2 linked regions of the Alligator mississippiensis genome follow. The protein of the gene in region 1 binds, or shares a complex with, the protein of each later gene. Links are inferred from orthologs where the notes say so. Each region holds a gene or a part of one and is shown on either strand. Other genes may lie near its edges. The genes, in order: CACNB1 and CACNG1.

Region 1 (16,214 bases):
TCCCCATGACTGAGCAAGCAACGCCGGTAGCTCCTGCGAACTCGTTCAGAGTGTGGGGAGAAGAGAGACAGGGCTAAAAGCAGGCAGAGATCGCTCTCTAAAACTCAGCCAAAGATGCCATCCAGGCCTCTGGCAGCAAACAGCGCTGCCAGGTCACCTGATACAAGCACCAATCAATAGGCTGCTCCAGGGCTTTAATATCCTTGCCAGGTTCACAACCAATCTGGCTCCATGCAGTGCCACAGCCAGCCTCTAATTACTGGGAGAGCTAATTACAATGCCAGGCATGTCAGCTCACCCCGATGGAAACAGGGAGGGGTGCAGCAGGCAAGGCAGGATGACACCAGATCTAAGGGGCTTGATTGCAGCGGCTGCTGGAGAATCCACATTGCCCTGGCCCTGGGAAGGGACTGGGAGAGGGAGGCACCCCCAGATAACAGCCTGCTTATTGCTGGCACCCCCCACAGATCAGCACAGAGGAGTCAGTAGCTTAATCAAGGCAGAGAGGAGGGAAGCAGGTGGAGGCCCCCCTGGGAGGGAAGGTGCATGTATAGGGTGACCCTCTGAGCTGACTGTCAGTGCCCTGTACTGAGGGAAAGAGTGAGGCGTGTGCAGTCATGCTTGCTGCAAGGCTCACTATAAGGAAGATGGAGGCAGATGCTTATTTAGAGCTGGCAGCCAGGCTGGGGTGCTGAGCTGTAGCAGGATGTGACAGATATGGAGGTAGTGGAATGATCTGGGGCTGAACTGCTTCTCCAGTAAGACCAGGAGATCTGCTCCTCATCTATGCCCCGCAATCTTACGTGCTTAAGTGTCTGTCCCAAGAAGGTTGGGGATGGGGTAGGCTCTGCCTCTGCATCAGTATATTTGGGAGGGCTGCTAGACCTGGGCATCTAACTCTTTCAGGGGACACACTCCTGGGCTCCACTGCTAAGCAAGGCAACTAAATCAGCACAGGGTGGCTCCCTGCTCTATCCCCAGCCAACATCATCCCTAGGGGCATGGGACTGAAATAGAGGCATGAACACAGGGACTGGTCACCATGGAGAGAGTGAGGATGTGGGGCTGACTGGATATTTTAGCCAGTCCCTGCTGACTGGGGTGCTGGGCTCCCTCCCCTCCTTATAACTGCCAGAGAGCACAGTGATCATCCACTGCTGAGGTGGGATCCAGAGCCCAGAGAAGGGATCCCAGTATAGGACCTCACCACCCTTTGGCCTACACTTCAAAGGGTGCTGTCATTCTGGTCTGATTGACTGGAGTGAGAGATTGCCCCCCTCCCCCCATATTGGGCACGCACAGCAGCTTCCTCTTGTGAGGAAGTCAGCCTGTCCCCATCTCCAGAGACCCTGGGACAACACAGACAGCTCCAGCCCTTGTGGGGAGGGTGTGAAGGGAGCACAGAGGTCTGTATCTGGTAAGGGAAGGACCTGAACCAGTCACAACCCCAATGCCATGCACACAGTGAAGGGTACATTTCAACTCTGAGTGTGCACACATGCAGGCTCCTACCCCCTGGCTCTGCGTGCATGTCACACCCTGTAGTTGTGTAGTTACACCCACGTACTCACAGAGCTGTACACACACCTACCCCCTTGCAAACAGAGCTGCACACACAATTTCCTATGCTCACACATTATAGAAGCCATCCCTGTCAACACCCTCCACACACACTTCCCCCTTCACCTTCGGCACACACACCAGTCCTCTCCCTCCACACACCCACACAGGCCCCTGCAGCCAGGCAAGTGTGTGTATGCGTACACATACACATGCATGCGAGCATGCACGCAGCAGGCCAACACACCGGCTCCCACTGAGTCAGCCCATAACCTAGTGGCTCCTCTTCAAATAGAAACATTTATCAGGCTCTTTCTCTCTCCAAACACTCCTCTGTGGGTTTGGACAGAAGGAGCCCCCTGGACTTAGTAACTAGTTTGACACCAGTTCCTACGCTGCCTCCTATTGGAGGATACTGGGACTGGATGAACCAGGAGGTTGGTGGTTGAACCATTCTGCTGCTAACCCTCCTTGCCAGGGAGACTGAGGGTCATCACAGTGCCCAAGACATCCCTCAGCTCTGGGCTGGACTCCCCCGGAAGCTGCCGACAAGGTCAGGACCTTCCATGCATAGAGAACGGTTAAGACGTGTCAGGGCAGAGCTGGTCTCGGAATGAGGCAGCCGCCTCCCAGGCACGCCTCGAGGGACAGCTGGGCCCAGTTGCTGTCCAGCCTGGAGATGCATGGTCCCTGAACAGGGCAGGAGTCGATATTTTTAGGAACTTCCTCCTCCCTCCCCCTCTCCGGTCTTTCTAATCAGGGAACATCCAGGGCTCACATTTGCTGTGGCCGCAGTTAGTGGCTAGGCTCCACCATCCAGGAGGAAGGAGGAGGGAGGGGGAAGCTCTGAGGGTTGCAAGGGGTTAATCACGGCCATTTAAAGAGCCACCCATTGAACTAGTAGAGGCTTGTCCTGGGTCTCTTTCCCCATTTAGGACTGATACTATCAAGGTACATCCCTGCTCCGCACCCACAACCCCAAGTCTCTCTGTGTCAGTCCCTCTGTGTTTAAAGCAAAGTTGGAATTGTCTCCGTGGAAAGGCTCAGAGCTGGGTGTGGGCATCATTCAGCAAAGCCAGTGGGGAGGATGTGCTGAGTTTCATCATATCAATGAGGTCGTCTTGGCCCATTCACTAACCCAACCAACCCCCCACCATGCTGCCAGTAAACAAGGCATGATGGGGACATGGTGACTTCTGGGACAGTTTACTAAACGCCAGTCTCCTGGTGAAGAAGCTGCCTTGGCCACAACCCCAACTGGCCCCACAGCCTCCCTCAGCAAGTTAGCCCCATTTTCCAGATGGGGAAACTGAGGCATGGAGCAGTGACACAGCAAGCCAGAAGCCAAGCAGGGATTAGAACCCAGGTGTCCTGACTCCCCACAACCTGCTCTGACCGCCAGGCCACACTCCTGGGCTCTGCACCCATTCCCCCATGTCCACTCCCCCTCCTGTGTGTGGCACAAACCCGTGCGCCACTGCCACCTGCCTCCTCTTGCAAAGGGGGGGTGAGGTGGGCACCATGTCTCCCAGGGTGCCTTGAGACTCCTCCTTCCACCCACATCTGCACCCTTGGGGGCACCCCAATTCGGCCTGGCAGAGGAGGGGCGAATCCAGCGGCTTCTTTATCAAGGTGGAGCCCGGGGGGTGCTAGTCCCCAGCCACCACCACCACCAGTGGGTCAAATCCTCCTGTCTCCAACCCCAGCCCCGCTGTACAAGGGGGCTCTGGACACACACACTTTACACACACACTGCTCCCCTTTACACACACACCCTTTACACGCGTGCACACTACTCCCTTTTACGCACGCACTGCTCCCCTTGACGCGCGCACACACCTCACCCGCCTTTACCCCCGCAGCCGCCTGAGGAAAGAGGCCGGCAGCAGTGCCGGGGGGCCGCGCCCGGCTCGGGTGGGATCCCCCGCCTCGCCCCGCGGTCACCTGCAGGCCCGGGTGGTCGAACACGTCCATCTGGATGTCCTGGCTGGAGCTGCACGGCGTCCTGGACATGCTGCCGTCCTGCACCATTGATCCCCGGGGCCGGGATCCCGCTCACGCCGGCCTCATGCTCCCGATGCTGCTGCCGCCGCTGCGCCCTCTCCCTGCGGCCCGAGCCGGAGCATCGCCCGCCCCTTCCCCCGGCAGACACAATGAGCCACACCCCCGGCCGGGCGGCCCGAGCAGGCGCTGCGGGGCTGGGGGCGCTGGCTTCGTCCCCTCAGCGGCCAGGGTGGGCAGAGCCCCCCCAGCCTGCGCGGTGCCGCGCCCGCCCTCACCACCTGGCTGTGGAGGCAATGTCCCGGCTGTGGGGGCAATGTCCCGGCTGGCAAGTGGATCGCACGGGCTCCAGGGGCTGCCCTGCTTCGGCTAAGGGGTGGTGGCATTAGTGGGGCCCTTCTCACACAGGGCCCTCAGCACTGGCCAGGCCAAGCCTCCAGCTGGGGTTATCTTATGGGGGGGGGAGGATGGGGGAGTATGCCCACACCCACCTCCCTGCAACAGGGGCCCCATCCCTCCTCCCTGTCCAGCTTCTTTCTGGGAAGATCCCCGGCACCAGGGCTCCTCCAATCCCCGTCTCTTCTCCCCTCTGGGCAGAAGTTCTGGGCTTGCCAATGGCTGGGGTGCCTCTTTCCTTCTTCCCTGGGGGATGGGAGGGTCTGTGGGGGTGTAATAGATCAGCACACCCTGTTGGTACAGTTGGCAAAGTGGCTCTGGATCCACTTGGGTGTGCCAGGCTGGGCTTCCCCCCCAGGGCTAAGGGTTTGGGACAGGTGGGGTGCTCACCGGTACCCTGTGGTCCCAAGCATCCTGGTTACCATGGGTTCTACACTTGCGGATGCCCCTCATACCCAGGAAGTGGGGACACCTATGGCTGCCTCCTTGTGTTGTTCAAGGAATGCTTCTGAGGGCACAGAAAGGGGTTCCCAGCTGGACTGGGTCACCTTGCCACCCAACAGAGCCAGCGTGGGCATCCATACTCTCCTGCCCAGAATGTATGCACAGCCAGGGAGGCATGGCTGGGAATGGTACTGGCCCCCAAGGCAGCTCTCTGTAATGGAGACAGCTTCACCTCCCTGCTTGACTGCGTGTAGTGTGGCATGGCTACATGTAGCTCCAGCTAGCTCAAGTCTCCATTCCTTGAAGCACAAGACCGCCAGCCTTTCTACCACCTCTTCTCACCCTGTCTCTTCTGTCTGAACCTTCTTGAGAGCACCCTACCTCCTCTAGGGATCTCTGGGGGCTCAATGTTCTTCTAAACAAACCATGTCTCACCATGGTTCGCTCCTGCTCCCTCTGGGCCTCTGTTTCCCAGCACAGACTGGGGAAAAGGAAGGTGAACAATGGTGGGTGCAAAGCGTCATGGGAAAAGACATCAAATGAGCCTGCATTCACTCCTTGAAATAGCTGAGGAGGAAAACTCACATGGCTGGTGGGATCCGTGGTTCATTTGGAATGAGACTCATCTGCCCTTCCTCAGCCCCCCTCTCCTAACTGGCCTGCCACTTTGCTCTGTTGTCTCAGCCCCAAGGGCTAAGCATCAAGAAGTGCCAACACCAGACTAGTGAATGGTAGCACCAAGAGATACACACTTGCATTGGCTACCAAGATAATAGTCCCTCTGGCCATGGTCTGGGGAAACCCAATGAGTGTACCAAATGAATCTTCAAGTGCTTGGTTTGACTTGAGGAATGGCATTAGGTGGGCATCCCTGGAGCCTGAAGCCTTTGGATGAATAGATCAGTGACAGGTTCTCCCCACTACTCCCTCTCAATCAATGGTTCATAGCTCTCTCCATGATGACCCAACTTTGTGTGTGGTCTCCTGGTTGAGTCTACTGGCAACTGATCCAGTTTGTCACCACAATTACCTTCATCAATCCAATCAGAACTGAGTTGAGACACCCACCCTGGCCCGTGCTTGTCTCACAGTTCCCAGCACAGCCCTAGACAGCAATACCCTTTAGTTGCAACTACCCAGCTGGACCCAGCTGTCAAAAGCCCCCATGTCTCATCACCCCTGTTAGTTCACTATCCAGAAGTGGCTGTGGTGTGTTAGCTCATGACTGCAGGGCAAGGAGACTGAGGTGAAGAGACAGCTCTTAATCCCAGTTCCAAAGAGGAGGGAGGACCCCACTCTCCAGCCCAGATAGGGGGCTCAAAACTGATCCCTCTGTTGCTGTGGAGAGTGGTGGACTCCTCCTAAGAACTGTCTCTTTCCTGGCCCTATTCCCCAGATTGTGCTGCTTGAAGACAATCTATCTGGGAGTTCAGGACATCCAACGCAAGAGAGATTTTTCCATTATTAGAACCCATCTATCATTGACAGTCAGAGGTGCCTATGTCTGCAGCACTGACGCTCCAAATCATACTTCATCTCTGCCATACAGGCTGGGGAAATGAGGCAGGGAGAGAAGTGTCTTGGCCAAGGTCAAGCAGCTGATCAGTGGCAGGGCCAAGAATACAGCCTTGAAGTCCTGACAGGCTTTCACTGCTAGATCCCACAGTGTAGGAGGGTAAGGATCCAGTTTGCAGGACATCAGAACCACCCTTGATCCTTTGTTTCAAACCCTAGATCAATCAAGGTTCAGTTATTTTCTTCTCACCCTTTGTGCATTGCATTCTTGCTCCCAGATGAGAGGGACAGAGCTGGAGCAGCTGTGGGGAGGAAGCTCTCATGCAGTTTCTGCCCCAGCAGGAAGCACAAGGTGCCTGATCTCGTCTCCTGTCTTGTCTCTTTGCAAGATCCCCCATGTACAGAAGGATCATGACCCTACAACATTCCTTTGATCCCTCTGAGCACCAGTACCACTGGAAGGAGGCACCTAAGGAGAGAAAAAATGCTGGAGAACGTGGTGATCTGGACACAGCCCCACCAGTTTGGTGACTTCACTTGGATGTGACCCTCCCATTGCATGAAGAAGTTTGCTTTCCCTGCCCTCCCTGCTAGACTGGACACTATAAATTGGTTCAAGCCGAAGACCCAGATCTAAGCAGCCCCAAGCTCTTGGAGAGTACAGCCCCCCACTTGGAGATGACCCCCCCGCCATCCTCTTCTGACATGGGGGCTGGAGTGAAGTGATCTCTCCAGACCAACTGCAGCTGGGACCTTGGGAGATGGCAGCCCTTTAGGGAAACACTTTGTAGATCCTGCTAGGGGAAGGGAGATGGTTGTCACTGAGGCTTCTCTCCTTCCCCAGAGAGTTCACCAGACCTCAGTCTGGCTCCCCTCTCCAGCATGGGTCTGTTTGTGCAGCGCTGATCCGGTAATGTCCTGAGAGGAGCAATGTGCTCAGTGTCTTGGGAGGCTGTGGCTGTTTCCTAGATATTATTTCACTGGTTTAAATCACCCCCTCCCACCCCAGTCCACACCAGCAGCTGGTCTTCCCCAAGGGATCCTGGCAGTGAAAAGAAGCCAACTTGGAAGAGCTGGAATTGTGGGGAGCCACAAGCAAGGGACTGGCATGGTGGGAGAGAGATGGCAGGGATAAATAGTGAGCACTGTGGATCAGGAGGTAGAGAGGCATGGAAGGTCAGATGGAATGGAAGGGAAAGAGACAGAGCAGCAGCAAGCTGGAGGAAGGGAAATGAATGCACAAACCACAGGCAGCTGCGTGGGAGTGTAATGCAATTACAATCCCTCTTCCTTTATGCTGCCAGAGCATCTCTCCTCACAAGGCAGGCTCCCCACCCCTGTATCCAAGTAGTAAACACTGCAACGCTGTGTATGTGGTACAACAGTAGTGCCCCTGGTGGACTGCTGACATGGGGCAGCTCAGGTTTGGCTCAAGCCTAGCCCAGATGCTAACAATATTACTAGATGCCACAACCTTTATCCCTGAAACAATACAAGATCAAATATTGAGTCAACATCTTTTGAACCCAAGCTCTTGCAAATAAATGCAGCCACTTCTGCGTGGTGCACGGAACCTTCTGCTACCAAAAATCCATTGGATCAATAAAACCTGGTGCAAGGGGCTAATGGAGACATTGAAAAGCACAGAGTTCAGAGAGTCCATTTTATTTTCTTATGGAGTCAAGGCAAAGAGAATGTGACTGCCCTCTCCAGTGTGTGTAAATGCTGCCATGCCAAATCTGAGCTGCATTCCAGCCCTTTATTTTATGGGGGAAATAAGGCAGAAGGCAAGTAGATTTGCACCTTACAGACTAACTCAGAGATGCATAAGTTTCTGTAAGCACAGCAGCTCACTTCATCAGGTGCTACAAAGGGAAAATAATAAAACAGACAGACCTCCCCATGAGGGAGGTTGCACAGGGTGCAGCAGGGCTCTCCTACAGTAGAGCTGTCCAGGTTCTGGATGGTGGCGGTTCTGCATGCCACATGGGCCACAGACCCCCAGCATTCCTGTAGCTGTGTGCACAACCTGGTCCTCCCCCACCACATGCGCTGCCCAGGCAGCTCACTTTCTTCCCACTGCACGTGGAGCACGAGCAGTGCAGACTCATCTCTTGCAGCATGAGCAGCTCAGATTACCCCCTGCCGCGTGTGCGGCACCCTCCTGCCATCTGGCCCCATCCTCAGGAGCAAAGGCAAGAACCAGAAGCTGAAGGGAGGTGGGATGGGGAGCCACTGAAGCAGTGGGGGCAACAGCAGCTGTGTGGACTGCATATTAACCTCTCAGCTGCCTTAGGTGGCCCAGGGACCAACAGTTGGACAGCCCTATTCTACAGGGGTTATGAAAAAATATTTACCTTCCTCTGAACAAGCCCCATGTAACTAGCTCTGAGTGTCATGGATGTGAATTTCTATTTGTGTTTCTCTGTAGCATCAATGGGACAGAGTCCTGGAAGGGGTGGGCCAAAGGTCCCAACCAAACATTCTCCTGTCTAAGGATACTTCAGATTTTGGTGTTTGTTTTATCAGAATGAGAAGTTGGTTTTTAAACAGAAAAAATCTGTGTTTATCCGTGTTTTTCTCTCAGAATGGACCAAAAATCTGTTCCTTTCAGGTCTCCTTCTCATACCATATGTTGATCATTTTACATCAGCCAGAAACAAAATGAACTGTTAGAAACTTGTCTGAATATTTAACAAGCAGCCACAGATCATTTTTTTTTCCCCTGGCAATTTCTTCCAAACTTCAGTCCTTTAAGGGATGGGAAAAACACAAAACACAAACCATTGCAAAAATGTCAGACTTTGGTGCTTTATAACATCTAGTTTAGTAAACAAACCACAGCAACACAATGAAGTTTGTATCCAAGGGGAAGCTCTATTATATCGCTTGTTGCAAATGCCACAACTGGAGAATCCCTTTTAATTGTTAGCATGATTCCTACCTGTGCATTTTATTTGTACACGTTTCTCCCTTTTTTCCCCTCAGGAATTCTTCACTTTCTGATCCTGGAGGGGTATCTCAAATTCTTACCTTTCTGCATTATATCTTTAATACAGGGAAGACAGTTATCATCTCTGGGCTTGAATCTGACCTCCCTGATTCTACTCTTCCATTATAGATTCATAGATGTTAGGGTCGGAAGGGACCTCAATAGATCATCGAGTCCAACCCCCTGCATAAGCAGGAAAGAGTGCTGGGTCTAGATGACCCCAGCTAGATACGCATCTAACCTCCTCTTGAAGACCCCCAGGGTAGGGGAGAGCACCACCTCCCTTGGGAGCCCGTTCCAGACCTTGGCCACTCGAACTGTGAAGAAGTTCTTCCTAATGTCCAATCTAAATCTGCTCTCTGCTAGCTTGTGGCCATTGTTTCTTGTAACCCCTGGGGGCGCCTTGGTGAATAAATACTCACCAATTCCCTTCTGTGCCCCTGTGATGAAGTTATAGACAGCCACAAGGTCGCCTCTCAACCTTCTCTTGCGGGGGCTGAAAAGGTCCAGTTTCTCTAGTCTCTCCTCGTAGGGCTTGGTCTGCAGGCCCTTGACCATATGAGTTGCCCTTCTCTGGACCCTCTCCAGGTTATCCGCATCCTTCTTGAAGTGTGGCGCCCAGAATTGCACGCAGTACTCCAACTGCGGTCTGACCAGTGCCCTATAGAGGGGAAGTATCACCTCCCTGGACCTATTCGTCATGCATCTGCTGATGCACAATAAAGTGCCATTGGCTTTTCTGATGGCTTCGTCACACTGCCGGCTCATGTTCATCTTGGAGTCCACTAGGACTCCAAGATCTCTTTCCACCTCTGTGCCACCCAGCAGGTCATTCCCTAGGCTGTAGGTGTGCTGGACATTTTTCCTCCCTAGGTGCAGCACTTTGCATTTCTCCTTGTTGAACTGCATCCTGTTGGTTTCTGCCCACTTGTCCAACCTATCCAGGTCTGCCTGCAGCTGTTCCCTGCCCTCCGGCGTGTCCACTTCTCCCCATAGCTTTGTGTCATCTGCAAACTTGGACAGAGTACATTTGACTCCCTCATCCAAGTCACTGATGAAGACATTAAAGAGTATCAGTCCAAGGACCGAGCCCTGCGGGACCCCACTGCCCACACCCTTCCAGGTCGAGACCAACCCATCCACCACGACTCTTTGGGTGCGACCCACTAGCCAATTCGCCACCCACCGGACTGTGTAGTCACCCACATCACAGCCTCTTAACTTGTTCACCAGTATGGGGTAGGATACCGTATCAAAGGCCTTCCTGAAGTCTAAGTATACGACATCCACCCCTCCTCCTGTGTCCAGGTGTTTCGTAACCTGGTCACAGAAAGAGACTAGATTGGTCAGGCACAATCTGCCCGCCACTAACCCGTGCTGGTTTCCCCTCAGCATAATTTGCCCTGCCGGGCTCTCACAAATGTGAGCCTTGATAATTTTTTCAAAGACTTTACCAAGGATGGAGGTGAGACTGACTGGCCTATAGTTGCCCGGGTCCTCCTTCCTCCCCTTTTTGAAAATGGGGACCACGTTAGCCCTTTTCCAGTCCTCCGGGACTTGGCCCGTGCACCACGAGCGTTCGAATATTCCCGCCAGTGGCTGTGCAATGATGTCGGCCAGTGCCTTCAGCACCCTCAGATGGAGCTCATCCGGGCCTGCCGACTTAAAGGCATCCAGTTCTTCCAAGTGACTCTGCACCACCTCAGGATCTACGTATGGAAGTCTGGCGCCTTGCTGCAACGCCAGTGAGAGACTTGTCGTGCCCCTCACTTAGGAATACTGAGGCAAAGAACTCGTTGAGGAGTTCAGCCTTGTCCCCGCTATCTGTCACCAATTGTTTCTGCCCATTTAGCAGGGGTCCTAGTCCTCCCTGGGCCTTCCTTTTACTCCCAATATATCTAAAAAACAATTTCTTGTTGTCTTTTACTTGGGTTGCCATCCTCAGCTCCATGGTTGCTTTGGCCCGCCTAACTGCCTCCCTACAAGCACGAGCAGAGGAGGTATATTCATCTTTAGTGATCTCACCCTGTTTCCACTTTTTATGTGCTCCCCTTTTGGCCCTTAGGCTGCCCTGGATTTCTCTGGTCAGCCATGGAAGCCTCCTGGCCCCTTTCCCTTTTTTGCCATGCTCAGGGATCGTTTTGCTTTGTGCCCGAAGGATTGTTTCCTTAAGGCACAGCCACTCTTCTTGGGCTCCCATCCCTTCAAAACTCCTACTCTGCAGTGTGTTCTTGACTAATCGCCTGAGTGCATTGAGATCAGCTTTCCTAAAGTCTAGCACTTTCACCCTACTAGTTACCTTACCCATTCGACGTCTTATGTTGAATTCTATTATTAGGTGATCACTGTCTCCCAAATGGCTACCGATCTGGAGGTTCCCTATCATGTCATCCCCTGTTGCCAATACCAGATCCAGTATGGCATTCCCCCTAGTGGGACCATGCACCTCCTGTGTCAGGTGGAGGTCCTGTACACAGGTTAGAAACCTGCGTGAGCAATGGGACCTTGCTGTCTGCGTCTCCCAGCAGATGTCCGGGTAGTTTAGGTCCCCCATGACTACCGCCTCTTTAGCTTTTATGGTCTCCGAGAGTTGCCTCAGGAGCCCCGCATCTATTTCTTCCCCTTGGTGTGGGGGTCTGTAGCAGACCCCTACCACCAAATCCCTTTCTCCTTGCCCCCCATGTAGCCTAACCCACAATCCTTCTACTTCCTCAACCTTGGATTCTGTCTTGATGAGGGTTGATGTATATTGCTCACTGACATAAAGTGCAACCCCCCCCCCCCTTTCTTCCCCGACCTGTCCTTTCTATACAATCTATAGCCCTCAATATGTACCGCCCAGTCATGGGATGAATCCCACCAGGTCTCTGTTAGCCCCACTAAGTCATAGGTGTTTAGTGCAAGCAGGAGCACTAGTTCATCCTGCTTGTTCCCCATGCTCCTAGCATTAGTATATAGGCACTTGAGCCCTGCGACTGGTGCCTTTGCTGCCCCCCCGCTCCGAGTCCCAAGGGGCCCATTGTTTCTTACCTTCTTGTTTCTTACCTGTTCTGTAGTGCTGGTCTCCCCATGGCTTTCAGGTTTCCAATGTTCTCCTTCTTCAGGCTGGGCTGTCCTTGTGGGTGCCACATGGTTTGGTGGTCCACAGCTTCCCCTGCCCTCGTACTCCCCTCCCCCCGATGAGCCTAGTTTAAAGCCCGCCGGAGGAGATCCGCCAACCTAGTAGAAAACACATGCTTACCTTTGGGGGACAGGTGAAGCCCATCCCAGCTGAGCATGCCCTCGTCGTGATGTACGGGTCATTGTCCAGGACTTTCTTTGTGGAGACCCTCTAGGTTGACAGTTATAAAGAGGGATGGGCATGCACAATTTCACTCTTAGTTTCTCCCATGGTAAAATGGTTGCATTGGTACTGATCAATCTTACAAAGGACTTGTGAATATTAAGTAAGGCTGTGACAGTGCTGTGAAGATGCAAAGCTCTTCACAGATGCCAATCCTTATTGAAAAGCAAGGATTTCTTGGGGTGATATCTTTTATTGGACCAACTGCATAGTTGGGATACAGCTAGACAAGTTTTCAAGTGAAAGACATTCTTCATCCTACAGTTCCTGGCTCAGCGTCCTGTGTTTGTGTCACCATACCTGATCCTTCACGCAACTGCTGCTAGAAATGCTACTTTGGATGAACTGCTCAGTGCTGTTTAATAGTTCCTTACTGGGTGTGGTCATTGGACACAAAGCGAGCAGAAGGTCTCACAATCCCTGAACAATCACCCTGCCCTGATGTCAGGCCCTGCACAACCTTAGTACCCACAGCCACATGTGGCCCTAAACCTAACACCTGAAGAAGAATATCTGGCATTCAAAAGCTGGTCTAACTTTATCCCAACTACATAGTTTGTTCCAGAAAAGATACCACAGAAAGAAATCTTTGCCTCACATAATTCCTGGACCATCATGGCTACAACATCACTCTAACACTACCAGTCCTTATTAAAGCAGTTACCATCAGCAGGATTGACATGAAATATAGGACCCCCATTTTTTCATCATCATCACTGTATAGACCACAAGCAAAAAGATGGGACTAGCTCAAAACACAGAGATGGAAGCAACACCCTAGAGTCCTGTATTCCAGTCCCCTGCTCTAATCATTAGACTGCACCATACCCTTTTAAGGTGACATCAGACACTGAGAGCCCCGGTGAGTAATGAGCTATAGTGGATGGATGTTGGAGAAACAAAGATCCTATTTTCAAGTAACAACATGGAAAACTGGAGTTAAACGTCAGGGGGAAAAAATTTTCCTACAGTATGTAAGAGGCAAGGATGTTTGTGGGTGGTATCTTTTATTGGCCCAACTGCATGGTTGGGATAGACTTAGACAAGGTTTTGAATGCAATGCATTCTTCTCAGATTTCTACAGTAGCTGTTTCTGAAAGGCTGTGAGTAGTTTAGATCAGGGGTTTTCAACCTTTTTTAATAAGTGTACCCCCAGCAGCACGACACAGAGTGGTGGTGGTGGCGGGGGTGGGGTGTTGGCACGTGGCTGGGGGGTGCAGGGGGGGCAGGGGTGGCACATGGCCAGATGTGGAGGTTGGGGGTGGCGCATGGCCAGATGCAGAGCGACAGCAGCACAGGGTGGTGGGTGGCAGCTGCAGTGTGAGCTCCCCACCCCCTTTGGCACCTGTGCAGCCCACAGAGGGGTGCTGTTGCCCTTGCCCCCCTGACCCTGTTCCTGGGAGTCAGTGGCACGGGGTGGGGGGTGGCGGCTGTCTGTTACCACCTGCCTGTCCACGCATACCCACTAGGGACTTCCCAGGTACCACCGGTTGACAACCCCTGGTTTAGATGTATGAAGGGTCTCAGAACTCTTATGTTCCATTCTTAGGTTTAATATTGTTTGTTTGGTTTCCAGGTGATCACCCATATCCAAGGAAATACAAGCTAAATGTCTGCAGGATTAGGTTGATCTTTAATGGACAGTCCCACTTCTTTGCTCAGAGCCCTTTGCCTATGTCACTATACCTGATCCTTCACACAACTCCTGCTGGAAATGCCACTTTGGACAAGCTGCTCAGTGCTGTTTAGTGCTTCCTTATTGTGTGAGGGTCACAGGACACAAAGCAGTAAGGACAGGGCCTCACTTAAAGCCCTGAATAATCATTCTACCCTGGCATCACATGGCCCTGAACAACTTTAGTGCCCGTAGCGCCACTTTGTCCCTAAACCTCAATACCCACTGCCTTATCATTCTGGCACTCTGTCCCTATCCAGGCCTATGAATCCGACCCTCTAATAACTCTCCTCAATCTGCCCCTCTGAGCCTGCCATGCCTTGTGCCTAGTAGTGTAATGAAGGCTGGGTGAACTGGGCATGAACCCCAGGAGTGAATGGAGCTGGGGTTGGGGTTTCACCCTCTGGTCTCCCTTGCAGTCTGCACCTTTCCTGCATCAACTCTGGCTCTAGCAGCAAGAAAGGTAGAGAAGCAGAGGCTGGAGGTTGGCTGCTGCTAAGGGCACTTCCTTTTTGCCACTGAAAATCAGTGGGTTTTTGGCTACTTGACACGCATGTTGGCAGCCAAAAAAGGTGGTGACATCTCTCCCAGCAGCAGCAAACCTCCAGCCACTTCTGTACTGAGACCACTGTTCTGCCTCTCCCTCTGCTACAGGCAGAACCAGGAAGGTGCAGGGTGCAATACTTCCCAGAGCACAGCACAGCACTGATCAGCTACAACTCTGCTTGTACCCACTCTTGGCTGGGACTATCTTGCAGCCTGCTTCCTGACTGCCCTCAAATCTCACCCCAGTGATTCTCAACTGGGTGCTGCATCACCCCGGGGTGCCCTGAGATCCCTTCAAGGGTGCCCTGGAGTGCCACATCGCAGTACTGCTGTGAGGTGTGCACACGTGAGTCACAAGATTAAACTGCTCCAATAAGGATCTTCAGGGTTAAGATCCATTCCACTCTGCTGTGGGCTTTGAGCTCCTTGCAACAGGAGACCTGCTCTAGAATTTTTCTATAGCCAAATCAAAAAAAGGAGTGAAAGCAAAGAGCTTCAGGGATATAGGTTGTAGCCATATTGGTCTAAGGTCATAGGCAAACAAGGTTCTTTAGGTAAATCAGATATCTTTTATTAGACCAACTAAAATAGCTGGAAAATATCTTCTTTGCTTTCAGGTATAAACACCTTCATCAGGCTGAGGAAGCATCTACAATTGGCCTGTGCTCTTCCTGGATGGAATGGAAAAGAAGCCAGAGGAGAATATGCATGTGAAAAAGTCAGTGAAAATGCAAACTGGGGCAGTCAATGGGCAAGATAGGTATTGTGGGTGCAGGGGGGTAAGAGGAATGTAGACCTGGTGATAAGAATATAGCTGGTAAATAGTAGAGAGGTTACCTGGGCTGTCAGATGTTAGGCAGGTTACGATGTGTCATAAATCCAATGTCTATGTTTAGTCCATGATTTTTTGTATACAGTAGGTTGATAAAGTTTGCAGACTCATCTGTGAAAGGTGTTTTGTAAATTCCCTTTGAGGATTAGAATTGAGAGACTGGAGAGAGAGTGGTTCTCTTGTGAGAAGTGTGCAACAACTGCACACCAGAATGAACACACAATGAAAACCAACCAAAGACAAGAAGACCCAATTACCGGTGGGGGCACATTTTTCAGAAGCAAACCACTCTCCAATCTCAGTTCTAATCCTCAAAGGGAATTTACAAAACCCCTTTCATAGAGGAGCCTGCGAACTTCACTTCTTCAAGCTACCAGATACAAAAAATCATGGACTAAGTATAGACATTGGATTGATGACACACTATAACCTGCCTGACATCTGACACCTCAGGTAACCTCTCTACTATTTGCCAGCTATATTCTTACCACCAGGTCTACGTTCCCCTCTCCTGTCTCTCACCCATTCCCTGCCTCAATTTACAGTTTCTCTGACTGGCTTTCCCACATGCATACTGGCCTCTGGCTTTTAGTCTCTTCTATCTAAGAAGGGCACAGACTAACTACAGGTGCTTCCTCAACCTGACAAAGGGCATTTGTGCTGGAAAGCTTGCAAAGATGAATTTTTCCAACTATTTTAGTTAGTCTAATAAAAGATATTGCACTTACCCAAAGCAAAGAGCAGGCATCTTCCAGGAATGTAAAAAGGCTGAGCCCCACTATCTTCCCCTCCACCTCCCCCCAGTCCCAGGTCTGGAGGTTGCTCCCCCAACCCCCAGAGCTCAGCTGCCCCCCAGCCCACCCCAGCCCAGCCCGCCCCACCGCGCCCCCGCGTGGCCAGGAGGCTCCAA
Region 2 (16,214 bases), on another chromosome or scaffold:
CACCTCCATCCTCTTTCAAACCACCCTTCAGGTAGTTGAAGGCTGCTATTAAATCTCCTCTCAGCCTCCTCTTCTCTAAACTAAATAAATGAGATCACTAAAGATGAATATACCTCCTCTGCTCGTGCTTGTAGGGAGGCAGTTAGGCGGGCCAAAGCTACCATGGAGCTGAGGATGGCAACCCAAGTAAAGGACAACAAGAAATTGTTTTTTAGATATATAGGGAGTAAAAGGAAGACCCAGGGAGGAATAGGACTCCTGCTAAATGGGCAGAAACAATTGGTGACAGATAGGGGGGACAAGGCTGAACTCCTCAATGAGTTCTTTGCCTCAGTGTTCCTAAGCGAGGGGCACGACAAGTCTCTCACTGGGGTTGTAGAGAGGCAGCAGCAAGGCGCCAGACTTCCATGCGTAGATCCTGAGGTGGTGCAGAGTCACTTGGAAGAACTGGATGCCTTTAAGTCGGCAGGCCCGGATGGGCTCCATCCGAGGGTGCTGAAGGCACTGGCCGACGTCATTGCAGAGCCACTGGCAGGAATATTCGAACGCTCGTGGCGCACGGGCCAAGTCCCGGAGGACTGGAAAAAGGCTAACGTGGTTCCCATTTTCGAAAAGGGGAGGAAGGAGGACCCAGGCAACTATAGGCCGGTCAGTCTCACCTCCATCCTTGGTAAAGTATTTGAAAAAATTATCAAGGCTCACATTTGTGAGAGCCCGGCAGGACAAATTATGCTGAGGGGAAACCAGCACGGGTTCGTGGCAGGCAGATCGTGCCTGACCAACCTAGTCTCTTTCTATGACCAGGTTACGAAATGCCTGGACACAGGAGGAGGGGTGGATGTCGTATACTTGAACTTCAGGAAGGCCTTCGATACGGTATCCCACCCCATACTGGTGAACAAGTTAAGAGGCTGTGACTTGGATGACTGCACAGTCCGGTGGGTGGAGAATTGGCTAGAGGGTCGCACCCAAAGAGTCGTGGTAGATGGGCCGGTCTCGACCTGGAAGGGTGTGGGCAGTGGGGTCCCGCAGGGTTCAGTCCTTGGACCGATACTCTTTAATGTCTTCATCAGCGACTTGGACGAGGGAGTGAAATGTACTCTGTCCAAGTTTGCAGATGACACAAAGCTATGGGGAGAAGTGGACACGCTGGAGGGCAGGGAACAGCTGCAGGCAGACCTGGATAGGTTGGACAAGTGGGCAGAAAACAACAGGATGCAGTTCAACAAGGAGAAATGCAAAGTGCTGCACCTAGGGAGGAAAAATGTCCAGTACACCTACAGCCTAGGGAATGACCTGCTGGGTGGCACAGAGGTGGAAAGGGATCTTGGAGTCCTAGTGGACTCCAAGATGAACATGAGCCAGCAGTGTGACAAAGCCATCAGAAAAGCCAATGGCACTTTATCGTGCATCAGCAGATGCATGACAAATAGGTCCAGGGAGGTGATACTTCCCCTCTATCGGGCGTTGGTCAGACCACAGTTGGAGTACTGCGTGCAATTCTGGGCGCCACACTTCAAGAAGGATGCGGATAACCTGGAGAGGGTACAGCGAAGGGCAACTCGTATGGTCAAGGGCCTGCAGACCAAGCCCTACGAGGAGAGACTAGAGAAACTGGACCTTTTCAGCCTCCGCAAGAGAAGGTTGAGAGGCGACCTTGTGGCTGCCTATAAGTTCATCACGGGGGCACAGAAGGGAATTGGTGAGGATTTATTCACCAAGGCGCCCCCAGGGGTTACAAAAAACAATGGCCACAAGCTAGTAGAGAGCAGATTTAGACTGGACATTAGGAAGAACTTCTTCACAGTTCGAGTGGCCAAGGTCTGGAACGGGCTCCCAAGGGAGGTGGTGCTCTCCCCTACCCTGGGGGTCTTCAAGAGGAGGTTAGATGAGCATCTAGCTGGGGTCATCTAGACCCAGCACTCTTTCCTGCTTATGCAGGGGGTCGGACTTGATGATCTATTGAGGTCCCTTCCGACCCTAACATCTATGAATCTATGAATCTATGAAATAAGCCCAGTTCCCTTAGTCTTTCCTCACAAGCCATGTCCACCAGTCCCTGAACCATTTTTGTCGCTCTCTGCTGCACTCTCTCCAATCTGTCCACATCCTTTCTGTAGTGGGGGGCCCAAAACTGGACACAGGACTTCTGATGTGGCCTCCCCAGAGCTGAATAGAGGGGAAGAGTTGCTTCCCTTGACCTGTTGGCAACACACCTATCAATGCAGCCCAGGATGCCGGTAGCCTTCTTGAAACAAGGACACACTGCTGGCTCGCATTCAGCTTATTGTCCACCGTCACCCCCAGGCACTTTTCTGCAGAGCTGCTGCCCAGCCCGTCAGCCCCCAGCCTGCACCGGTGCAAGGGATTGCTCCATCCTAAGTGCAGAACTTTGCACTTGTCCTTGTTGAACCTCATGAGATTTCTTTTGGCCCAATCCTCTAATTCCTCTCATACATGCCATGCTGTAACTGTTTTGATCTCAACTTTTTTCTTACCGATCTTTACTAGTTTGGCCACTCAACCCTCTTACACATCACAGAGGTCTTGCTTGATGGCTGTAAGATGGGAAGTCCTGGGAGCTTCCACTGGAAGATTTTGCCTGTGCTATTCTATCAGGGAGCAGGCTCTATGCCCCACCACTCAGTCTGTCCACAAAACCAGTGGAAACTTCATGAATCATAGAAGTCGGGTCGGAAGGGACCTTGTAGATCTTCAGGTCCGACCCCCTGCCTGGGCAGGAGGAAAACTGGGCTCAAATGACCCCAGCCAGGTAGGCATCAAGCCGCTTCTTAAAGCTCCCCAGGGTAGGAGCCAGCATCACTTCCCTTGGAAGTTGGTTCCAGATCCTAGCCGCCCTGACTGTAAAGTAGTTCTTATGGATGTCTAATCTAAACCTACTTTCCAACAACTTGTGGCCGTTATTCCTTGTTATCCCGGGGGGTGCTAGGGGAAACAAGGTCTTCCCCAAACCCTTCTGGTCCCCCCTAGTGAGTTTATAGACAGCCACAAGATCACCCCTCAGCCTTCTCTTGTGAAGGCTGAACAGGTTCAGGTCCTGTAGCCTCTCATTGTAGGGTCTGCCCTGATGTCCCCTGGATCATGCGGGTAGCCCTCCTCTGGACCCTCTCAATGTTGTCCATATCCCTCTTGAAGTGCAGTGCCCAGAACTGGACACAGTACTCCAGCTGCAGCCTGACCAGTGTTGCGTAGAGGGGGAGGATCACCTCCTTGGCCCTACTTGAGATGCACCTATGGATGCACGATAGGGTCCGGTTAGCCCTGCCGACCATGACCTTGCATTGTCGGCCCATGTTCATCTTGGAGTCAAAAATGACTCAAAGATCCCTTTCTGCCTCCATGCTCTCAAGAAGGGAGTTTCCCATCTTATAAGTGTGCTGCTGGTTACTACTGCCCAAGTGCAGCACCCTGCACTTGTCCGTATTGAAATGCATCCTGTTTTTGTTAGCCCACCTTTGCAACCTATCCAGGTCTTTCTGCAGTCTTTCCCTCCCTACTAGTGTGCCCACCTCACCCCAAATTTTGGTATCATCAGCAAATTTGAACGGGTTGCTTTTCACCCCGTCGTCCAAATCGCTGATAAAGAAATTGAACAGCGCAGACCCAAGGACCGAGCCCTGGGGGACTCCGCTGCCCACTTCCCCCCAGGTCGAATATGACCCGTCCACCACCACCCTCTGAGTACGACCCTTCAGCCAATTTGCAATATATCTGACCGTGTAGGCATCGATGCCACAGTTGCCTAGTTTTTTAATGAGGATGGGATGGGAGACAGTGTCAAAGGCCTTGCTGAAGTCCAGAAAGACTACATCCACAGCGACACCTGCATCCAATGCTTTTGTGACCTGATCATAAATGCTGAAGCTGGGGTTCTTTTCACAGAAACCCCAGCCCTCCAAATTCTCGCTAGGCTTCCTCGGCTCCACGGTATCCCTGTTCTAGAGACTTGCACTAGCGTCCTCTAGAGCACCTTTCCACAGAGGCAGGTATTTCACAACATTTATCAAAAGTACAACCATGCAGCCACTATTGAATCTAGCAGTATCAGCTGAGGTGTTGAAGTCCAGTAGGGTTGCAACAATGAGAGAGTCCCATTCACTATGTATTTCTGTATTTCACCATGTTACAATTTGGCCGCAGCAATATCCTTTATTTTTCTGTGTGTGGGAGAGCAGTCTGATGGCAGGGCTTCTCTCCCTAATTTTCAGTGGCCTGGTCCATGCATTGTATGGGAGAAGATGTTTTCTGTGCATCTGCTTTCTCTGTTCTGTGTACATTGCAAGGCTTTTTCTGACCAAAGAGTCCCCCCGCAACTGAAAGTCCCTGCTTGGTGTAAGGAAACCAGCTGCTTTCTAACCAAAGGAAATGTGTGGATTCAGGGCCATAGACCTCTGGAATTTGGAAGGATTGCCCCAAACACTTTTGTTCGCATGGGTAAAATCCTGTTCTTATTGACCTGTCCGTTTCCCTCTGTTACTGGGAAGGCTCCGTTACCTCTAGAGGCACCATCATGGCCAGAGGGCTTGGAAGAAAAGGAGCACAATCCACTGTGCCTGTTGAATTTGTTAAGGCACTGTTAGGTGCAAACTCAGATGCGGACACCAGTGACAAGAAGCAAACAGTACCACGACAGCTACTCCTGATTCCAGGGAAAGAAAAGTACTGGGGCTTTAGGAAGTTTTGAAGACAAAGACATTTTTAAAGCCACAAAAAAATGTTCATGGAAAATTTCATATTTTTGAATGAACAATCTGGGTTTTAATAAGGCTGTTTTTTGAAGGGAAAAAAATGTTTAAAAACATTGGTAGTGTTAGACCGGGGTGGGCAATTATTTCAGCTGGAGGGCTGCTTAACCAGTTTTGGTGAGCTGTCGAGGGCCGCATGGGTAGCCCACCTCTTGATGCTTGCCCCACCCCCTGGTCGCCATCTTCAGATGGAAGTCCCGCCCCTAACCCCTGACCTTTGCCACTAGAAGTCCCTCCCCTTGCCTGTGATGTGTAGCACTGGACAGAGCCACGTGCCTCTGGGTGCCAGCACCTGCCCTGGGCACAAGCATCCTGAGAGCCCCCGCTTGCTGCTGCTGCTGCTGCCAGTGGGGGCTATGCACCATGGTGGCTATCCCACCCTCCCTCACACTTCACAAGTGCCACACACCCACACCCAGCCCTTACAACCTCCCCACATACCCTATTTCCCCCCACACATACGGCCACACACCCTTACAAACCCCCCACTCCCCACCATACACACACCCCCACACCCTACCTTACACACCCCCACACTCCACCATACACACATACCCAATACCCCACCATACCCATACAGCCCCACACCCCACCTTACACACATACCCCTATCCAACCATACACACACCCTCCACACAATATACAAGACTACAAAAAGGCTGCCCTGAACTTTGTCCTGCAGGATTGGGCCCCACATGCTCCCAGGAGCGGCAGGGGCCCGAACCTGTGGGATGTCTGTTTTACCCAGTGAAGCAGAGGAGCTGTGCCAGGACACTCCCAGCACAACTGATCCACTTCATTTGCTGATGCCTGTTTACACCTTAATAAAAATCTACTGCAGAACAGCATCAATGTAAGACATAGCGTGATGGTACAGAACAACACACCAGGCTAAAATCCTCCATAAAACAAGTGCTGCTGGCCAGCTGACAAGCACAGACTCAGTCACCTGCATGCCAGATATGTACAGCAGCATGCCAACAACTACTGAGCAGGCTCCCTGCCAGCCACAGTATTTAGGGTCAGTTGAGAGGCAAGCCTGAAAGAAAAAAAATCTGCTGCACTGCTGAAAAGCATTTCAACCTCTCATTGTTTAGCCTATATCCCTCCCCGCTCCAATCCCACTTAGACTCTTGCTGAGAGGGCTCTCTTTCAGACTGTGACAATAAAAACTAATGCTGATGAGACGATGCTTAGCCAAATTTCTGTCCTTTCCACTCATGGCTAAATGTTTTTCTGGATAGCAAGCACCTTAATACATATTTTCCAGTTAATGTGCATCATTTCAAAATGGCATTTTCCATTTAATAACTGACCTAAATTTTAAAAGAAAAGAAGGGCTCAGACAGAATGGTCTGGGTTAGATTTAAAAAAAAAAAAAAAGAAAAAAAAACCCTTATTTTTTTTGTTTCATCAAAAAGAATTTTTAAAAGTTTCTATTGTGATTTCAACTGAAATGTTTTTTCCAGTACTTGTTTTAACCACCAAATTGAAAAATCCATTATTTATCCAATCCTATCACAGTGGAGATATACCTGGATTACAAAGTAAAAGTTCGGTTCCATAATTAGATCAAAATCCTGACTTCTACAAAGTTTTGAGGTGTTTGGATACATTTGCACAATTTGTGTTTTTGCAAACATTGACTTGAGTCGCGCATTCCCCCAGGATTGAGAATGCCTGCAGACAAGGAGGAGATTGATTTTGGATCCAATATTGAATTTTTTTGAATAAAAGTGAGCTCATGCTTATCTCAGTTACAACAACAGATATTTTACATACTAACTGGGAAGTTAAAAATTTACACCATTGACTGTTCCTGGTCACATTGTGAGTCAGGCGGTCTTGGTCTTACAACCGTGAATTTAGTTATACAGATCTAGTTTTGCTTCCAGTTGGCATATGGACCTCCAGAACAAACCAAGGAGGAATGAACCAGTAACCTGAGCTGCAGCAGCAGTTACTTCACTTATTACGTGCATTAAAAGAATCCCCACTCACAACAAGTCCAGTCATCCAGTCTCCTGATATATCTCAACAGCTGTACTTGTGGCCATATCCATCCCAGCCCAGTCTGTTCTTCTTTTTTGCATCACAGGGCTGACATTTGAAAATGCTTAGACATGCCAAGACTTTGGGAGACCATTTGAATAACTTGCAATGATCTTCCATGCAAGCAGATCAAGGCAGACTCAGCAGTAATCACCAGGCAGAGGCTGCTCTATGTGTTCCAACACAGTCCAGCCATGGACGAAGGCAAAACACTGAAAATCCGGCTAACTTTCTCCGTTATTTTGGTTGGTGTTGCTTTATTGTTTGCAGCTGTGGTGACTGATCATTGGGCAGTGCTGAGCCCTGAAGTGCTGCACTACAATGCCACCTGTGAGGCTGCTCATTTTGGGCTATGGCGGCTTTGCACAAAACGGATTTACGTGCAGGATACTAAAGAGAAGGGCTGTGGACCGATCAGTCTGCCAGGAGGTACGTGTCAATGCTCGTTTCACATCCCTTCCCAGAAATGCCTGAGAGAAAATGCCACGTTATTGCTATTCATGTCTTTTAGGAACCTACAAGACATATTGAAAAGGAGATATGGTTCTTTGTTCGCATTGCACTTAGTCTTACAAGATTTCCTGAGTGAATTCGGTTCCATATTAGCATGAAAATACACCTTATTTTCATATTTCCTTGAGGCTTATCTTAAGTACATGATGTACTGCCACAGTACATATCTTCAAGTATATTCAGTACACTGCCTTTCAGTAGCTTCTGTACAGAAAAAAAAAGAATATAGTTCGTATAACAGATAGGAGATGGCAGAAAGCATAGACTGAAATCAGGGAAATGGGACATTTTCTCACTGGTGTTTTGATGAAATCTTCAATAGGCCCAGCCCCAAAACACCTACACAAGCCCTTATTCAAGGAAAATGTATATAATTTTCACTGTGAGGTTTGCCTGTATGAGGATTATAAGACAAAATCTAGTGTCTGCAGTTAGCTCAGAAGAAGAACTTCCTGGTTCAGATAACTTCAAAGGGACAGCTTGTGCAGGAAGGATATTAACATATCCCCAAGCTACCCTGAATAATTATCATTGCTTCAGACAATGTGCAACTTTGGACAATCATACAACTTTTAATGTATCATGCTAATGTAATGTCCTCCCTGGAAACCATCTCCCTCATTTAAATGCCAAAAATCCCGTAGACTGAATTAGAAATAATATATCATCAATTTATTGGGTTTCCTTAAACTTCAGTGACTGAAAGCAAACATATTCCAACATTATTGCTAAATGAAGTTTAATCAGCTGCCTTTCTTCATGACAAGTAGTAACATACGTTGTAAGTAGCCCTTACTGCAACTAGTAGGCATGGTAGTCAAGTAGGTGATTTCCAGGGAGAACATTACATTAGCATGATATATTAAAAAGTCGTATTATATTTTTGCTGGATGGAAAGTCAGCAACATTCATGCAACATGTGCTAATACCCTACTCACAACTTCACTAAGCTGTATTTTAAAGAGGCTTGCCATGAATTGGATTATTTGCCAAGCAGAAGTAATAGGCTGCTTTGCTTGTTAGAAATACTATTTGAAGCTAAGGTTAGATTTTAATATATTTGTAAATATGCTATGAAATTGCATAACGATAAATCTCAGTTCATGTGATTAATTAATTTATTATTAGAGATCTGATCCGCAGCTTTCAGATCCAGGCTTCCACCAAATTTGGAGCTGTTTGAGTCTAGACGACTGGCTGTAGGCCATATCTAATATGCATAATAAATGTGTTGTAATATGTATGTGCAATCCTAGTTTTGCAAACATTAGAGCTTCTATGTTTAACATAAAAATAAGGATTCATGGGAACACCAATACTGCATGTTGCTGGATACATTTATAACTTATAAATACCCAGCTGTCTCTATAAAACAGATTCTGAGTCACTGCAGCAGAGAAATGACTGCTCTTTTTGATGGACATCACCATGTGCTTGCATGGTTGTCACATAGCTGAGCTATCCATCCCTCTGCACTGCCTTCCTAATGTGTCCAGTAAACAAATAGGTAATTATGAAAGAAGTGAGCCAGTCCTCTGCAAAGCAACTTGAAAAGACTAGACATAATCTTTGTATGCTGCACAGGTCAGCACTTGGCAGTTATTCATGAGATTTGATTAAATTTAATCCCAACCACCTAACAATTAATTTTCTAGCACCAGTCATCCTACTACTGGAGGCTTTGAAAGAGTCCGTCCCCCACATTTTTTTTTTTTTAACAACTGTTAATAACATTCTCATATCTCCACTATAAGGTAGATATTACTGTACCCATTCTCCATATAGGGAATCTGAAATAGGGAGGGGTGGACTAAAACTAGCCCCACATATAGTCCATAGCAGAGTTTGAAAAGAAACCCAAGAATCCTGCTTTTCAGGATTCCCCCTTATATTGTAGGTAATATTGCCATTATTGTAATGGTATCACACTCTTGAAAAAGAGACATTCCAGTTGTCAAGCTTGGGTTTGTCAAGAAAGTTTAGCAGAACAAACAGACAAGCGGGGATTTTGCTTGTGACCATATCAGTAGATCTTTTTTCCCCCTTAAATGTCATGAGATATTAAATCCTACACTATCATCATCATCTGAAAAATTACAAGTATTTACTACTTCATTAATAGCCACTTACCCAGTCATACTCACGGAAAAGATGGATGGCATTGCTACTATTATTTATTTGTTGAGTTCAGCACGGTATGGCATGAAAAGGAAGGGCTTGGGGATTGTAAGCTAAGAAAAGGTCTTGTGATTCAGGCAAAGAGAATTAAAATTACTTAAAAAAATATGCTAATAAACTAGAAAGGGTTCGTAAATTTATCCAAGGAATGACAAGATTTAGTAGTTGGAAGTTTAAGTTAGACATCAGGTTTTAAACATGTGAGCCTTAACTGTAACAGACCTTTGGAATAACTTACTTGAGGATGGGGTAGACTCTTTATCATGACAAGTCTTTAAATCAAAATGGGATGTTGAAAGGTAAATCTTATTCCTTATCCCCCAGAAGATATGGGCATGGTGTAGAACATCACCAAGTGACTTTTATAGCCTGTGGATGCTGGAGGCAGATTGATAAATGAACGCTGTTCTTATAAAAAAATCTACAAATCTACAAAATTGCAATGTGAATGGTGCCGATACGGTACTGCTGACTGAATCTGACCAAGTGACTTGACCTGCTTCCAGCATCTCTCTTGTCTTATCTGTATAGTTGGGATAGTACAACATACCTGAGAGGTGACCCCGAGTCCAGCCCCACCAGTTTCAGATGATGGCACAAAAAGGCAAAGAGTGGGGTGTCGACTTCAGGAAGCCCAGGTGGAAATTCCCCTGCTGTGCCACACATTTTCTGTGAGACTTTGGGCAAGTCACATAGGCTCTCTGTGCCTCAGTTCCCTAGCTACAGAATGGGGATAACAGGACTGGTCTACTGCACATGGTTGTTGTGAGGATACATTGAGAAATTATCAGGTTCTCAGATACTAAAAAAAAATGGGACCATAGTAGTATCTAAGTTCAGATTCAGATCCAACTTTTCCCTAAGTCCTCTGTGAAAAGTCCAGCCTTGTTTAATTGCATGCTTCTACCCCTAAAGTCCAAAGGACTAACAACATCAAAACCCATGCTTCCACATCTCATGGGTTTTCCCAGCAAAGGCACTTCAACCGATGAGCTATCCCTCGAGGCCTTCCCCGTTCCTCACCCACTGTGAGTCAAGCATTGGCATACAAGCCTGATGGATCACATCAGCCTGTGAGTCAAGTGTTGGCATACAAGCCTGATGGATCACATCAGGGCAAAGGGACAAATCTGGGCACAGGGGCTTCATTTTGTCCAGTGGGCAGAGTAAGCAATACTTCACTGGAGGGAAGGAGTCATTAATAGTACTAAGGCTTGATAGTCTATTCTTTCCTTCAGCTCCAAATTCAAAGACGTTAAGAGCCTGCTAGTTAGCTTAGATAGTATCTGCTTTTTTGCAGACATGAAGAAGAGCGTTTTGTGCCAGAAAGCTTGTCTAACATCTCTCCCAGCTATGAAGTTGGACCAAGAGAGAGAAGATCTCATCTCACCAATCTTGCTTCTTGCATATTTTTCCTGAATTACCATGGCCACAACAACACTGTTATTGGCTCATTTATCATTTGCCTGCCACAGCTTGGCTGAGATAGAAATATTCAGTGCTCACCAGGCCAAACTCATCTACATTTCCAGGAGCGTGACAGATAATAAGGCAGCTGGAGATGTATCAAGTACAGGGTCCCTTGGATAGCCATCTCTGTTTCCGCTCTAGTGTACCTATTGCACAGGACTACCACACAGTGTAGCGGGTAACTCCAAGCACGGCGGCAATACAACATCTTCCACTGGAATCCTTTCAAACGATGCCGAGGTTCATGCTGATTTGGGGATGAGGGTGAAAAGCAACCTGTGTTATTCTGTACTGTAAGGAGTTTATTAAGATGACCTGTAAAACTGACTGGATCAAAAGGAGCTGCACTTGTCCATTTAGACTCAGAAAGATTGGGTTCAATTGATTATCCCTCCTGGACTACTTTATAGGCCATTAATTTGCATGCAGGTACCCTATATCAAGCCCAAAAGACCTGTTGAACTGAAGGAGTCCTCATTTCAGTCTTCAGGAGGCTAAGCTTTGGGCCACAGGCTGTGGCCAATCTCCAGTATTTCAGAAAGTGGCCAGAAATTAAAAAAACAAAACAAAAACCAGAGAAGACATCTAGCCATTTGTGCACTGGAGAACAGTTCCTTCCTGGAGGCTACCAGATGAAGCCTGGAAACCCGAGATTGAATAGAGAGCTGCAAGTATTACGGATCTGTTGAAAGCAGGGCAGACTATCCCATTTTCCGCAATGCCCAAGAAGGAAGGGGATGAACAGATTGCAAGATTCACAAATTTCAAGGCCAGGAAGGGCTACTATTCCCATCTATCCATGTTCCTCCTTCTATACCTGCACGTTTCTTGGTGATTCTTGCAATTAATTCGTATCTTTTAACAAGATTATTGTGTTGTGAACCATACTATGAATACTTTGAGAACCCTGCTTTACAAATGGAGATCCACAAAGCCAAAGGATTTTTTTCTACTAGCATAGCTGCTGGGTAACATTATCATGGAGAGAATGCAATTAAGGGAGGTGAGAGAGGAAGAATGCCACAACGTTTTCATCCATTATGAAGTTTTTTTAAATCCTAGCCTTAGTAAATGTAATGTGACAGAAATGGGAGTTTTCTAATTCACGGTGGTGCTGGAAAGGGCTTGAAGTAGCTCAGCTCTGTTGAATAATGGCAGGTTTTGTTGATAAAGGTATTCCCAGCTCAGTGGCTCACTGAAGTATCATTGACATGAAGACAAGTGTATCTCACCACCATCATTCTTAGAAAAAAATATCCAGCTTTATTCTGTGATAAATATATGATCTGCAATAGCTCTTTCCCCAAAGCTGGCGCATTGACTTAAAAACCTCTTGGCAGGATTATTATGAAGCTAAACCACAGTTCATTACATGGATAACCTGCATTCATTCCAGCAGTTCATCTCTAAAAAGACAACCCCAGGAACTGCCACGATATCCCCTCTGCCCCTTTTTTCTGATTAGAAAATGGGGTGGTGTTGGAGATACCTTTTCGAAAGAGTGCTAAGTATTCAGAGTACCATGGTACTAAGTATTCAGAGTACTAAGATTAGGGGTCCTAGGCATTAGAGGATTTCAAATAATTAATAGTGTGCTGCTTTGCTCACCTGTTCTATTTATAAAGCAACTGCAATGAAAAAGGATGTCAAATGTGCTTGCTCCAGTATCAGGGGGATCATTCATCAGCCTGTTTGTCATCTATCAAAGAATCAGAATGCCAAGTTTGTATTGCAAACCCTCCTGGTAACTGATAAACGATGCAATTGAAAAGTTAGTAGTTGGTGAGTATTAGTCATGTGACAGAAAACTTGTGTTTCGCTGATGCAAAGTGTATTTACTGGGTGTGGCAGCAGTGTAATGGAGAGTAGTGACACCTGGTACTACATGCAGTTTGGGGGTGAGAGGCCTTCTGTGAGAGGGATGAAGCAGCCACAAACTAGTGGCCCAGATCCTGTTTTCTTGGAGCCTCTTTGTTCTTTTGTGCTCTTCACTTGCAGTTTTTGCATCTTTAAGCAGTGGCTTAACAAACATAAAGCACCATCATATCTGTTTGAGATCAAACATGTTTGCTTCTGTCATATTCAGGGATAAAAAGAGATGTGGCCACTGGATGCCAGAGCTGAACAACCATTAACCGAACAGTACATGAGAAGAAGCTGAGGGATGGAATTAAAATCAGTTTATATATATATATATATATATATATATATATATATATATAAATAAAATACCTAACTCTCAAAAGAATCTTCAGCTAATGAGCTCCAAACATGTGGGTTACACATACTTCTTTGTAATTGTCTGACTTCCTATCAGATAGAAAATATTATATTTGGAACAACAATTCTAGGATATGGCATTTATGTTGTAGGAGAAACAAAAAGAATCTGGTTGATGATGTACAGATCTATGCCATTTTAGCACTATTGAAGGATAGTGCTGTCAATATACACATGCTTTGCAAGGGAAGGTTTGTCTGCATTGGGGCATGATTTTGGTTGCAGTCGTTTACGTCCAGCCAGTGGTGTACAAACCCCCGAGATAGAGACAAAGCCACAGGCTGCACCAGGAAAATTTACTGTGGATTCAGCCTGCACCAGTAACTTATTATGGATTTGTGGGCCTATACAAAGGCTGTGCACTGATGCAGGTACATGCATGGCTGGACACCAGTGCCTGACATTTCTAGTGCAAGCAAGGATTTAGTGTGCTGCAAAGAGGTGTGGAGTCCTAAAGTCCCCTCTTCATTTATAGACATTTATTTCCACTATTTCAGGGCAGCTGTGCCAACTTCCTCCACTCCCTCTCCCCCTCCCCACTTTATTTGTTCTACAAACAATAGGAATCATTAAAACAATTATGACCATTTGCCATCTGCCACGGTTACATTTCCTGCAGTCTTGGCAGCATTACCTGCTGTTACTTTAGTGATTATGGTAAAGCAAAATCAAACTCCTTGGTGCACCAAAGGTGTGATTTTTAATAAGGCCCACAAATAGAGAACTGCCTATATTCTCTTCAAATAGGCTGGCCAATAGAAAAAACACGATCAGACTATATACTGCTCCAGTTGGCAGCATCTTGTTAATGACACAATTCCCTCCAAACCCTTGGCAAGCAATTGTTCTCTTAACTATATGTATTCATCAAGCCCTCAATTAAACACGTTATAAATAGATGATGCTAAGTGTAAAGACACTCCTTCCTAATGCTACAGCTGGCAACACTGAAAGTCAATGACCATCTACTGAAAGGACCTGCCCCTGTCTTGCTCACACATTTATCCAGATTGAAAGCATGCTTCTTTTTTTTATTGCAAGCACAGATAGAAACTTTTCATCCTGTGGCTAAAGAGGGAATTTGAAGCCTTTGTTTGCAAGCGAGCATCACGCCACCAAATAACTTTAGACACAAGTCCAAAAACCCAGGAAAGACTGGTGCAGTTGGTCTATTCCACTAGAGTCAAATGCTGCACACTTCATTTCATTTTAATAGATTCCCCCTTACAGCAAAGTTTCAGTGACCTGTAAGAAAGTTCCATGCTGCAAAGCCTTGTGGACTGAGCTAGCACCAAGATAGCATCTTCTCCCTTCTAGTCCCTGCCAGGGAGTGACAGGAGAGAGATGGGATATTCATTACCGGTGGTTAAAGCAGAGTGAAGCAGAAGAGGGAAGTCTGATCTCCCCAGCCACATCAGGTGGGCAACCATGCATGCGTAGGGAGAAGATTCTGCTTACCTGAGCCAGGAAAGGGCCTCTGGTTCCATCAGAGGAGAGGAATTTGCAATTCCAATACTCTCCCTTACTTTAACCCCTGCTCATCAGGGCTGTGCAAAGCTATGGGTGCCGATTTGATTCGGAGGAGATTCGGCCTGATTTGGTGGTGGAATCTCCGAATCTGAATCGAATCAGGGGACCAATTAAAAGGTTCAAATCGATTCAAAGCTTTTTGGAAAAGATTCGGAGAGCTTTGATGATTCGGGCAGTCCTCGGTGGCTGCAGCGTGGAGCTGGAGCTGGACTCGGAACTGGTAAGTAGGGGGTGGGGGTGAGGGGACCATGGGGGGACCCCCGCCAGCCCTCTGACCCCACCCACTCCCTCAGCCTCCCCCCCCCATCCCACGGCTGCCCTGCCCACCCCAGCTCCCAGTCCTTTAAAAAAAAGGCCCAACTCACTGGGTGCTGCTGGGTGAGGGGTGATCTCTGCTGCCCCCACTGCATGGGGGGCTCTGCATGAGCTCTCAACACCCCCCTCCCCCCACGGCTGCCCTGCCCACCCCATCTCCGGCCCTTTAAGAAAAAAAAAATGAGAAAAACCCCAGGAATCACCACTCCTACAGCAGCCTCAGGGCTTCAGGGGACTCATGCAGAGCCCCCCACATGGCATGGGGCAGTAAGGGGGGCAGCAGGGATCACCCCCCCACACCAGGCAGGAATGGTGAGTCCAGGGGTTTTGGGGTTTTTTTTACTTAAAGGGCTGGAGCTGGGGCAGGCGGGGCAGCCGTGGGGTTGGGGATCAGGGGACTCATGACAGAGCCCCCCATGCAGTGTGGGGCAGTGGGGATTGTTGGGTGGCAGCACCCGGTGAGATGGGGCTATTTTTTCCAAGTGCTGGGAGCTGGGGCGGGCAGGGCAGCCATTGCTGGGCTGGGAGAGCGAGCAGGGGATGGGCCTGCATGATTCGGGGATTCGGCAGCAGCTGACTCTCCAAATCAGATTCGGCCAAATCAATTTGGGACAGTGATTTGAATCACTGAATCGAATCACTGTTCCCCAAATCAGCCAAATTCGAAGTGAATACTAGTTGCTTTGCACAGGCTTACTACTCATGTCATAAGTACCAGCCTTGTATACCTTGGTAGAAATGCCATTGTGGCGCAGGGATGGGTTGGCAATGTGACTTGTGCAGGGGAGGGGAGGGCAGGGGAGCCAGGGGATGCCAAACCAGGTTCTGGAGGCTGTCATTAACAGGAAATGGAGTACAGGTTTCCCTCGCTTTATGAGGTATATGCATTCCTAGAAAACGGTGCATAATTGAATTCACGTAAAGGGAACCCACTTTACAATGTAACAAATAGGAGTTCATTCCAAGACCTGGACTGTACTGACTCCCAGACCCATTTCTACCACTTTTTGGTAGAATTTTGGTAGTCACAATTTTGACAAAGACAATTTTGGTAGTCACCAACAGCAGACAGCACAACCAAGCGCAGGGCACTATCATACAGGGTATGGC

What was found.
Region 2: CACNB1 (region 1) and CACNG1 share a complex: the UniProt entries of both Homo sapiens proteins name them as parts of the calcium channel complex. The link is inferred for Alligator mississippiensis from reciprocal best matches to the Homo sapiens genes CACNB1 and CACNG1.

What each region holds. Positions count from the first base shown.
Region 1 is NC_081827.1:165,922,527-165,938,740, reverse strand, and holds the start of CACNB1 (voltage-dependent L-type calcium channel subunit beta-1), read right to left. Parts: upstream 8,684-16,214; 5' UTR 3,592-8,683; coding exon 3,505-3,591; intron 2,915-3,504; exon of another isoform or gene 1-2,914. UniProt on the Homo sapiens protein: Regulatory subunit of L-type calcium channels. Regulates the activity of L-type calcium channels that contain CACNA1A as pore-forming subunit.
Region 2 is NC_081831.1:5,750,558-5,766,771, forward strand, and holds the start of CACNG1 (voltage-dependent calcium channel gamma-1 subunit), read left to right. Parts: upstream 1-6,899; 5' UTR 6,900-7,012; coding exon 7,013-7,247; intron 7,248-16,214. UniProt on the Homo sapiens protein: Regulatory subunit of the voltage-gated calcium channel that gives rise to L-type calcium currents in skeletal muscle. Regulates channel inactivation kinetics.